Regions from separate parts of the Mus musculus genome. Here all the other regions are reported to be linked to region 3. Evidence: microRNA targets listed by miRTarBase, many of them from high-throughput screens and not tested one by one. Region 3 holds a microRNA gene; each other region holds the end of a gene's coding sequence.

Region 1 (4,068 bases), not on the chromosome of region 3:
AGAAAGTTGTGTTTTGAGCTGATTACTGTTTTAAAGAGACATCATATGATGAACAGTGAACCTGTGGTGGTGATTATGAGCATTTAGTGAAGCAGCTTGAGCGCCACCTGTAGCCGTGAGTGGAACATGAGCAACAAGGGGTTCAAGCAAGGCTGACCAAACCCTTGGATCTGACCTCTAGGGCATAGACTAGAAGGACTTGTGTGTACAAGCTTGAAGACTGACATAGACCACTGAATTCTGACCTACTAGTCTCATTGCATATCACTTTCTGGTGGAAATTAATGTTTCTCCTTATTGCAGAACACAGATGCTGTTCATCTTGCTTTGAAGTTAAATAATTCTGAGCTAATGGGAAGAAAACTGAGAGTCATGCGTTCTGTTAATAAAGAAAAACTAAAACAACAGAATTCAAATCCAAGCTTGAAGAAGGATGTCATTAAACCTAAGCAAAGACTTAATTTTACTTCCAAAGAAGGAAAATTCCATTCCAAAGAAGGAAAATTCCATTCCAAGAATGCATTTATTGGAGAAAAGGCAGTTCTCATGAAAAAGAAAAAGAAAGGACAAAAGAAAAAAGTACAAATGAAGAAACCAAGAAAACAGCAGTAATAACTGAGGTTGCCTCCTTTCTGTGGTGAAACCTTGCAATGAGTGTCTGGGTTTTTTATGGATTATGTAGAAAATGTGGAGGCATCCACGGTGTCTGGTTTTTGTTTTTGTTTTTTTTTTAATTCATGCTATATGTAAGGCTTCTTTGAAGCCTTGTTCTTAGAAATGTATTTAAAGAAAAATAATAAACATTAATACTCTGTGTTTAGGATAAGTGTTCAAATGGTCACTGTGAGAATACTGATTCCAGGTATAGTCACAGTCCCTAAGAAAGACTTGTGAGCTGTGTAAAACACACACGCACATTCTTCACTTCTCATTTTTCTTTCTCTTGCAATTGTAGTATAGATCTACATTTCTTATCCCATATATCTAATAATTGCTAACCAATAAGACTGATAGGATAAGAGTGACTATCTTCTAATTCGTTGCCAGTGACTACAGTGGTCAATGATGTCCTTGGCTATTAGGTGTGTGTGTGTGTGGAGGGGGGGGTGCTCATAAGAAAAATACTCTTCCAGGAAAATGTGATGCTTAAATTAGTATCACTCAGAATGAAACAGCTGTCCCAGAAAGTTTAAAGACAGCATCTAATAAATGATGTTAATTAAACTGCAGTCTTTAAAGTTGAATGACATGACAACATGGTGCTGCATTCCCTAAGTTCCAGACACATCTTACCAAGCTGGGGCTGGATCCAGGATGAAGTGGGGGAAGCAGGAAGCCAAGGCTGATTCAGGCAGGCAGAGTCCAGTAGGCAAGAGGGTAGGATAAGTTTTCACTCTTTTAGTTGTAAAAGTTCTGTCTTTGGGAAATGCCATGTAGAAAACCTAATGAGGTCTTTAAAACATAGCTCTAGGGGCTGGAGAGATGGCTCAGCAGTTAAGAATACTGACTGCTCTTCCAAAGGTCCTGAGTTCAAATCTCAGCAACCACATAGTAGCTCGCAACCATCCGTAATGAGATCTGATGCCCTCTTCTGTTGTTTGTTTGTTTGAGACAGGGTTTCTCTGTATAGCCTTGGCTGTCCTGGAACTCACTTTGCAGACCAGGCTGACCTTGAACTCAGAAATCCGCCTGCCTCTGCCCCCCAAGTGCTGGGATTAAAGGCGTGCGCCACCATGCCTGGCTGATGCTCTCTTCTGGAATGTCTGGATACAACTACAGTGTACTTACACATAAATAAATCTTAAACAAAAAACAAACAAACCCCATAGCTCTAGAGGCTGGAGAGTTGGTTTCTTGGTTAAGAGCATGCACTGCTCTTCAGAGTACCTAAGTTCAATTCCTAGTACCCACGTCAAGCAGTTCACAACTGTCTGTAACTTGAGCTCCTAGGTCCAACTCCTCTAGTCTCCCCAGACTTTGTGCACTTTTTCACTAACATAACCTACACACACATATATACAAGTAAAAAATAAAAGTGTGGGGCTGGAGAGATGGCTCAGTGGTTAAGAGCACTGACTGTTCTTCTAGAGGTCCTGAGTTCAATTCCCAGCAACCACATGGTGGCTCACAACCATCTGTCCGATGCACTCTTCTGCTGTGTGTCTGAAGTCAGCTACCGTGTACTCACATTAAATAAATATTAAAAAATAAATAAAAGTGTGTAGCTTTTACAGCAGAGAAAGCTCTATTTCCTGTATCCAAGACTGGATAATTTATGGTTGGTTTTCCTTACAGTATTTAGAACCTTTTCAGTTAAATTTCAGCAATTTTACCTGATCACTCTGGAGCATTTTTGCATAAACTATATAAAGATGTAACATTAGATTGTGCGTGCATATATAATCTATGTACAACTTACAGCTCCTGTGAGTGAGCAGGTTATATACATGCATAGATGTAACTTTATTTAATATGTGTATGATGTGAATGTGGAGGCCAGAAGAAAACTCTGGAGTTTTCTCCTTCCAAAGCATGGACTCACTCAGCCATCTCACTGGCCCTAGATACTTTGGAATTCGGTACTGTGTAACTGTTGAAATTCCTCCTTTAGAATGTGTGTGCTACTATGATTGTGTAAATCATTAAAAAATGTATTTTGTAGGAAATTTTCTAAAGATGCTTAGTGTAATTTCTTGGTACGTTCTATCTGATAAAATACTTAATAGCCACAAGACTATGTATATAAGTGGTCAAGAGTGGATAGAAGTTGGCTTTGTTATAAAAGTGCTGGCTAAGTACTGATTAGTCATGAGTATGAAACATTTTTTTCTTGTAAACTTTTTTTCTCCCTTAACATAGCTTCAAAAAATCCTTAAAGGGGCTAGAGAGATGGCTCAGCAGTTAAGAGCACTGGCTATTCTTCCAGAGGTGCTGAGTTCAATTCCCAGCGACCACACGGTGGCTCACGACCATCTGTAATGCTATCTAATGCTCTTTTCTGGTACGAAGGTGTACATGCAGGTAGAGCACTCATATGCATAAATGAAAAAAAAAAGCATTCTTACAATGAGAGGTGCAGGAAAGGCTTGCATCGGCTACCTCTTATCACTGTACCCAATTCTCAGAGACTGCAGCATAGCTTGTCACTGTCCCAGGTTTCGATGTTTCCTCAGTGAAGGGAGCAGTTGCTGTACCAGACTGCCTTTCCTTCAAAAGCCAGCCACAAGTGTGGTGGGTGGGTTCGAGCATTAGTAACGAGCTGGTTGGGAATCTTGATGGGGGTTGTGGAGGAGGGAGAGAACGACAAGACTGCAGTTTAATGACGGCACAAATCAGGGCCACCCATAGACTTTTTTTTTTTTTTTTTTTGCCCTTCTGCATTCCTTACAGGTTAAATTTTTTTGAACGAATTAACCCATTTTTCTTCTCCGCACCAGGGCTACATCATAAAATTATTTTGCAGTCAATCATTGTGTCTAATCTCAGTCACAACGCAATTTACAAAGCAAATACTGCCAGATCAGGCGGCTCAGGTCTTCCTTTAAAACCACAGCTCAGAGGATGAGGCAAAAGGATTGCAGGTTCGAGGCCAGGGCAGACTACACAGCAAGTTCCAGACCCTACTATGCTACAAGGGGAGAGCCCGTCTCAAAAACCTAAAAAGCAAACGCATGCACTTCAAGTCACAGGCTTCCTGAAGGACACAGTGAGATGAGATGCTGTTCTCAGCCGGCTCCCACCTTCGTCTTTCATTAGCAAGGACAGTGGATTAGAGGCTTCTGACTCAGCACGCCACAAACACGTGCTGCCCCTGACCCCCTGGTCACGGGATGACGCACAAATCCTTCTGCAGTGCACGCCCCGCCCCCAGCTTGGCGTCTCAGCCGCGCAGACTGGGTCCATCTGCGCGTGCGCACCAGGCGTTCCCGCGCAGGCACCGCCGCGGACAGCCCGCCGCGGACCTTCCCCCGGGGTCCTCGCGCGCCGGAAGTCCTCGCGCTCGGCCTTTTCCGTCTGGACTGGAGGCAGGCGGCTGCGAGCGGCCGGCGTGCTCCGATCGGTCGGAGC
Region 2 (4,068 bases), not on the chromosome of region 3:
TAATTACTGAATGGTGCCCATGATGCCACTGGCTTGGGAAAAGATTGAGCTTTGTTCTTACTATTATAAAGGATTATTAACAACACTTCTGTTCAGCCCCTCCCCTGCCAGAGACTTCCTTGTGTATGGTAAAGCTAAAATAAATTCACACAAAAAAAGAAATCTAAAATTAAATATTTAATTAGAACTCTGATTTGCTTTAAAGATAGGTGGCATTACACAGGTTATGTTACACTCTCTTTATAATTTTTTTTGACAAAAAGATACTGTTCATTTTAACAGGCCGCCTTAATATTAATACATGTCGAATAGGATTGGAACCGAAAATCAGCTAGAGAGGGTAATGTTACATTATCGGGAAAATTACAGTTTTGTATTGTAAAAACATTTATTTTTTTTAACAATTTACCTACATTAATCAAAAAATTACAGCATATTTAATAATTTTACAAATTCTTCATAAAAAATATATCTCTGTACAAAAAGGTCTTCCGCACCTACGTTGTGACAGCAGCGTGTGGTGGGGACGGGAGGGTGGGGCAGCGAGAATGGATGGTTTTCCTGATCATAATGCCAGCTTTCTTTTCTCCCTTTTTTTTTTATAATAGCTTTTGTTGTTGTTGTTATTGTTTACAAAATATTTTACAGAAGAAAAAAATTATTGCAGCTAGCCTGAAGGCAAGATGGGCAAAGACAAGCGACAGTTGAACAGCTTCAAAGCACAAAATCTGTCACTCATAGCGTGTCTCCTCACTGTGCTCTGGGCGCTTCAGGGAAGAGTCGAGACCTCACTGAGGAAGGTGTTCCTGACTGTCCTGCTAGGTCTTCAATGCCTCTGAGACCTGGTGAAACACCACACACACACACACACACACACACACACACACACACACACACATCCTAGGAAGAATTGAGCTAGGCTCTCAACTGAGTGCTGCTCAATATTGTATGTTGGTTTTGAATACCACGATGCAGTCTGGTAGCTGTAAGTCAGTTTGCACACAAAGGAAAACGACACTGGTCTAACGATGTGGCTCCTTGCATGTATGTATGCCCTGTCTGAGTCAAGTCTTCTTAATGTAACTGGCCAGCAAAGAGGCCAGGGATGTGGGGACAGAGACGTTAGTTTAGACTCCAAAGTCAGCATTTTGCACCTAGTCTGAGTGACTCAAACTTAGATATGTACAATATATATATAAATATATATATGTTTGTGTGTGTGTTTTTATATACATCTAATATATATAGTAACCCTGTTCTCCCTTACGCACTCTGGTCTGTGGACCCTCTGACGCTCTCTGTTTTGTTTTGGCTCTATGTGTGGTTAGAAGCACACTCTTGTTGACATCATCTGAATTTCCCAGGGAGCCAATGAAGAACCTCTGTGGACCCAGAGGAATCCCATGGATGTGTGTTGGCTTGGCTGAAGGAACCTATATCAAAACTCCTTCCTAGGACATGGAGTCCTGAAATATGAATCCCAGTGGATAGAGTGTTGACAGAAGTCAGGAGTCCTGACACAACAGACAGCCCTTGCAAGAAGAGAGGGCTGGAAGGAGGAAGCCCAGCGGGGCCTCTGGAATGCTCAGAATGCTGAACTTCCAAAGCTGTAAGCCAATATTTCTTTATCCATTGTCCTCTGGGAAGTCCTGCATTTAAACATCATGTAGATAGACAGATCCACCTGTCTTAAAGCTAGGCATGAATGTAGTCACCAGCAAACAGAACGTCAGCATGGCATCCTGACCCATGTATCAGTGCAAATCTGGGATGTGCAAACGGGGGGATTTTTACCACATGGACTGTGCATGAAACGTCAAATAATAAAATAAGCATTATATTTCCAAAAATACTTTTATCAAACAAATATAAATAAAAATAAACATGATCTTCTCTTTGAATTTCTTACAGACATTTCTCTGGCCCTGCCTTGTCTTCAGGCTGTTTATTTTATCCCTGTTGGCCATACCACCTATCTTATATATATCATAATAGATAGTCTATCAGTAAGGAATTTTAACGTTTCAAAAATCACTCTAATGATTTTTTTTTGCAAGAAGGCAAATAATCTATAAAACAGATCATCATGAGGGTGTGCGAGTGGCGCCTGCCCTTCCGATTCTGATTTGAACTTTGATTTCCCTTTTGATTCCTCTGAGCTTGGGTGTGGCTGTGAGATAAGACTCTCAATGCATTCTGGGAGGGTGATGTTACAGAACAGAGAAAGGAAACAATTCAGAAGGGAAGACTACACTGTGAACTGAGTTCATGAGCTACCTAAAATAAATTACTATTCACACTGTACATGGAAAATGGACATTGCTGGAGCCCCCTGTTATTGATTAGTAATGTATAGACAATAGTTGTATACACATGAAGGGGGGAAGTCAAGGGGACTATGTGGTTTCATTTCTACCACCAGAAGTGGGCAATGGATTTGACACATAAGTGTGGCCAACAGAAGTGATAATATAACTTCTTCAGCATACTGTCTTATTTTCAAAATCTGTGCTGTATCTGGGATACTTCCCTTTACATTCCAACTTAATTGATGGTGGCATCTGTTGCTTGAGAATACAATATGAGAAAATGCTTATGTACAATGTATAATGAATACAAACCCTGTGGAAATTGTTTAGAAATCAGACTTAGTTGTTCTTAACACACTAGTGCAAAATGTTGAGCATCAAGAATCCTGGATGGAACAGCTCTGACTGTGGGATCTGCAAACATCCCTAGTAGTTGATGGATGCCCAATGGAGCCTGAAGATCCACAGAGCTCATGTCTCAGGCAGGGTGGAGTGAAGCGAGTGTACGTGTGTGCATTTTCCAGAAGACGTCTTCTCCAGGAAGGTTTTTCTTTTGTAAAGAATTCGTGTCCAGGGAATAGGGTTAAAAAGAAAAGAAAAACACAAAACACATATCAAGTTGCTACCATTTTGTCGCCGCACCTGAAGGATGTATCCATATGCTCAGAAGACTACATCCAAAGGCATCCTGGCCACACAGAGACACAAAAGTCAGAGGCATTAAGTACCACCTGTCTGTAAGACTACAGTCTTCCTTGCCCTCGCCGTTGTCGGTGTCTTGATGTCTGGTGGAGGCAGCAGCCAGGCTTTTATAATCCACTTTCCAGATGAAGATGTATTTGCAATTTGATCCTCAGAAGACTCGGTCATGGTTGAGAAGAAATTCCCACTGCGTTATGCCAGCAGACGATGGCCAAGGTTGCTGCAGCAAGGCAAGAGTAGAAGGGGGGTGGTATATGGCACCAAAGGATTTTACTGCTTGTCCATCAGAGGTATGGCTATGAATCGGTCCTAGGGGGCACTGAGGGCTATACCACTGTACACACTGTGTTCAGAGTCGTGTCAAACCTCACAGCCTTGGCCTCTGTGGGTTTTAAGTTTGTATCATACATGGGGTTTTCAAATGAAGCTTGTCCATTACTGTTTTCATGGCCAGCATAGCCATTATATTGAACTTTTGGTCTTGTTCTAAAGAGAAAAGAGAGAACATAATCAGATTCTAACTGCAATGACATAGCCTCCACCCAGTCTCCATGCATTCTCAGCAGAAAATATTCGTGTAAGGTTATGGGGAGGAGAGGGCATAGTAGCTACTTCACTATGTGTTGACTCTTTAAAAATTGCTGTTTGAGATTATAAACAGAATATAAATAAAGTTGGAAATCATTTTCCATATCAATAAAATAAAATAAAATAAAATAAAATAAAATAAAAATAAATCTCTCTATGCATTGAAGGAAAGTTTGGGGAACTCTGAAGATATTAGAGGCAGCACGCAGGGAGATATTCGGTCTGGAAAGCCATCTATTGCCAGTAAGCGGCAAGGACTTGGGGAAGCCACTACAGGCTTTATGGGGTGAAATCAGTGCTCAGCCCATGTGTGTGCGTGGGGCAGGCAGCACTTCAAAGCCATTTCAATTTCTAATACGTTCATCTCTACTAGCAGAATTCACTAAATGATGATTACTTTTACAATGCAGTTTTTCATCCCCTGATGGGTCAGAATCAGCCACCTTGTTTAGCTGGAGGAATGGCTTGG
Region 3 (4,068 bases):
TCACCCCATGGCACTGGCATTTCCAACACACTGGGGTGTTCCACTCCAACTAGGCTTCACCAATAGCCTCTCATAGGCTCTCTTCATGGTGCCAAGCCTCAAATCCTTTGCATGACCCCTTCAGTCCTGGGCCTTCAACTACAGCTGAGGCTACATCTTTTCCAATGGCTTTCCATGACCTCTCACAGTGCCAAGCCTCACCTTTTCTTCATGACACCTTCATGCCTTCAAAACCAGTACCACCTGGGTGACTCTTAATCATTACCAAGTCCAACCGCAGAATGAGGTGCAACCTTGGCTATCTCTGGAATACAGCTTATTTGTGCTCCCAGAAAACAATTCCCAGACGCTTTCATCTCATTGATGCTGGTCTCAATTATTGCTAATTTCTTAGCTCCAGCTAACCAGCATCAATTATCCCAGTAGTTCCTTTCATTCTTAATTCTAGGGCCAGAGTCACATGGCTGAAGCTGCCGAGTTTTGCTGCTTGCAAGAACTAGAACATGACCCACTTGTACTAGTACATTATCACTGGCTTTATGTTTTCCAAATCCTTCACTACCTAAGCTTGTTTGATCTGGATCTTGCTCTGTAGATAGACCTTGAATGCAGAGATCAGCATGCCTCTCTCCTGGGATTAAAGGTGTACACCACCATGCCTGGATCTAAATTTAGCTGGGTAGAATTTTGCCCCAAACTCCTACTACCTTAATGTGTTATCTTTTAGAAGACAGAATTTTTGCTCCATTTCACTTCCTGGTACCCCTTTAATACTTGAACCATATATTTTATATTTTTCCTTTCTACGTTTGCTATGCTTGTTCAAACTTCTCTTCATAAGACATAACAAGAGAATAAAGTATCTGCTGGGCATTTTTGAAACTTCCTTTGTCAGAGCAATTAATCTGAGTCTCTTCACCTTAGTCTCAGGCAGACTTTTTCAGACAATGTAGCCACATTCTTCACCAAAATACCACAAAGACAGTCTTTTTTTGTAATTTTTTTAATTAGGTATTTTTTAATTTACATTTCAAATGATATCCTCTTTCCTAGTTTCCTCTCCAAAAATCCCCCATCCCCTCCCCCTCCCCTTGCTCCCCAACATGGTCCCATTCCTGGTCCTGAAATTCCCCTATACTGGGGCATAGAGTCTTCACAGGACCAAGGGCCTCTTCTCTCATTGATGACCAACTAGGCCATCCTCTGCTACATATAGCTAGAGCAACAAGTTCCACCATGAGTTTTCTTTGATTGGTGGTATAGTTCCAAGGAACTCTGGGGGTACTGGTTAGTTCATATTGATGTTCCTTCCATGAGGCTTCAGTCCCATTCAGCTCATGGGGTATTTCTCTAGGTCCTTCATTGGTGACCTTGTGCTCCATCCAATGGATGACTGTGAGCATCCACATCTGTATTTTCCAGACACTGGCAGAGCCTCAGAGGAGATAAGTCCTGCCAGCAGGCTCTTGTTGGCAACTGTCTAGTGTCTGGGTTTCATGGTTGTTTATGGGGTGGATCCCCAAGTGGGGCAGTCTCTGGATGGTCATTCCTTCAGGTTCTGCTCTGAACATTGTCTCTAACTTCTTCCATGAGTATTTTGTTCCCCATTCTAAGAAGGAACGAAGTATCCACACTTTGGTCTTCCTTCTTGAGTTTCATGTGTTTTGCAAACTTTATCATGTGTATTGTACATTTCTGGGATAATATTCACTTAACAAAGAGTGCATATCATGTGAGTTCTTTTGTGATTGGGTAACCTCACTGAGGATGATAACCTTCTTATACATGCATTTGCCTAAGAATTTCATAAATTCATTGTTTTTACTAGATGAGTGGTACTCCATTGTGTAAATGTACCACATTTTCTGTATCTATTCTTCTGTTGAGGGACATTTGGGTTCTTTCCAGCTTCTGGCTATTATAAATAAGGCTGCTCCTTATTTATAATAGCCAGAAGCTGGAAGGAACCCAGATGCCCCTCAACAGAGGAATGGATACAGAAAATGTGGTACATCTACACAATGGAGTACTACTCAGCTATTAAAAAGAATGAATTTATGAAATTCCTAGCCAAATGGATCGACCTGGAGGGCATCATCCTGAGTGAGGTAACACATTCACAAAGGAACTCACACAATATGTACTCACTGATAAGTGGATATTAGCCCAAAACCTAAGATACCCAAGATATAAGATACAATTTCCTAAACACATGAAACTCAAGAAAAATGAAGACTGAAGTGTGAACACTATGCCCCTCCTTAGAAGTGGGAACAAAACACCCTTGGAAGGAGTTACAGAGACAAAGTTTGGAGCTGAGATAAAAGGATGGACCATGTAGACACTAGCATATCCGGGGATCCATCCCATAATCAGCTTCCAAATGCTGACACCATTGCATACACTAGCAAGATTATGCTGAAAGGACCCTGATATAGCTGCCTCTTGTCAGAGTATGCCTGGGCCTAGCAAACATAGAAGTGGATGCTCACAGTCGGCTATTGGATGGATCACATGGCCCCCAATGAAGGAGCTAGAGAAAGTACCAAAGAAGCTAAAGGGATCTGCAACCCTATAGGTGGAACAACATTATGAACTAACCAGTACCCCGGAGCTCTTGACTCTAGCTGCATATGCATCAAAAGATGGCCTAGTCGGCCATCACTGGAAAGAGAGGCCCATTGGACACGCAAACTTTATATGCCCCAGTACAGGGGAACGCCAGGGCCATAAAAGGGTAGTGGGTGGGTAGGGGAGAGGGGGTGGGTGGCTATGGGGGACTTTTGGTATAGCATTGCAAATGTAAATGAGCGAAATACCTAATAAAAAATGGAAAAAAAAAACTAGAGAAAATAAATAAATAAATAAATAAATAAATAAGGCTGCTATAAACATAGTGGAGCCTGTGTCCATTTATAAGTTGGAACATCTTCTGGATATATGCCCAAGAGAGGTATTACTGGATCTTCCAGAAGTACAATGTCCAATTTTCTGAGGACCCCCCAAACTGATTTCCAAAGTGGTTGTACCAGCTTGTAATCCCACCAGCAATGGAGGAGTGTTCCTCTTCCTCCACATCCTGCCAGCATCTGCTGTCACCTGAATTTTTGATATTAGCCATTCTGACTGGTGTGAGGTGGAATCTCAGAGTTGTTTTGATTTGCATTTCCCTGGTGATTAAGCATGTTGAACATTTTTTTCAGGTGCTTCTCAGTCATTCATTATTCCACAGTTGAGAATTCTTTGTTTAGCTGTGCACCCCATTTTTAATAGGGTTATTTGATTTTCTGGAGTCCATCTTCTTGAGTTCTCTCTATATATATATTTGCTATTAGTCCCCAATCAGATTTAGTATTGGTAAAGATGCTTTCCCAATATGTTGGTGGCCTTTTTGTCTTCTTGACAGTGTCTTTTGCCTTACAGAAGCTTTGCAATTTTATGAGGTCCCATTTGTCAATTCTTGATCTTATAGCATAAGCCATTACTGTTCTGTTCAGGAATTTTTCCCCTGTGTCCATATCTTTGAGTCTTTTCACCACTTTCTCCTCTAAAAGTTTCAGATTCTCTGGTTTTATGTGGAGTTCCTTGGTCCACTTATACTTGAGCTTTGTACAAGTAAATAACAATGGATCAATTCTCATTCTTCTACATAAAAACTGTCAGTTGTGCCAGCACCATTTGTTGAAAATACTGTCTTTTTTTCCACTGGATGGTTTTAGCTCCCTTGTCAAAGATCAAGTGACCATAGGTATGTGGGTTCATTTCTGAGTCTTCAATTCTATTCCATTGATCTACCTGTCTGTTGCTGTACCAGTACCATGCAGTTTTTAACACAATTGCTCTGTAGTACAGCTTGAGTTCAGGCATGGTGATTCCATCAGAGGTTCTTTTATTGTTGAGAATAGTTTTTGCTATCCTAGGTTTTTTGTTATTCCAGATGAATTTGCAAATTGCCCTTTCTAACTCTGTGAAGAATTGAGTTGGAATTTTGATGGGGATTGCATTGAATCTGTAGATTGCTTTCAGCAAGATAGGCATTTTTACTATATTAATCCTGCCAATCTATGA

What was found. Region 3 holds the annotated microRNA mmu-miR-3472 (UAAUAGCCAGAAGCUGGAAGGAACC, at 1,945-1,969, shown strand). A microRNA usually pairs through its seed, bases 2 to 8, with sites in the 3' UTR of a target mRNA and lowers its output. Matches are read on the target gene's strand: a 7mer-m8 pairs with bases 2 to 8, a 7mer-A1 pairs with bases 2 to 7 and ends in A, and an 8mer does both.
Region 1: the mRNA of Rbm34 is a reported target of mmu-miR-3472. Seed matches in the 3' UTR shown: 8mer at 1,074-1,081.
Region 2: miRTarBase lists Csmd1 as a target of mmu-miR-3472. Seed matches in the 3' UTR shown: 7mer-A1 at 603-609.

What each region holds. Positions count from the first base shown.
Region 1 is chr8:126,945,779-126,949,846 of GRCm38, reverse strand. It overlaps Rbm34 (RNA binding motif protein 34), which reads left to right. Exons shown (of 11, transcript NM_172762.3): 11 at 304-2,675. The coding sequence ends at 612. Tomm20 (translocase of outer mitochondrial membrane 20) reads left to right here and starts at 3,926. Exons shown (of 5, transcript NM_024214.2): 1 at 3,926-4,068.
Region 2 is chr8:15,892,380-15,896,447 of GRCm38, forward strand. It overlaps Csmd1 (CUB and Sushi multiple domains 1), which reads right to left. Exons shown (of 70, transcript NM_053171.2): 70 at 166-3,497. The coding sequence ends at 3,338. Among named protein-coding and RNA genes, the nearest start is that of Gm46073, 39 kb to the right of the region's middle.
Region 3 is chrX:145,037,446-145,041,513 of GRCm38, forward strand. It overlaps Mir3472 (microRNA 3472), which reads left to right and starts at 1,899; the gene lies at 1,899-1,969. All of the region lies in intron 2 of Rtl4 (retrotransposon Gag like 4), which reads left to right.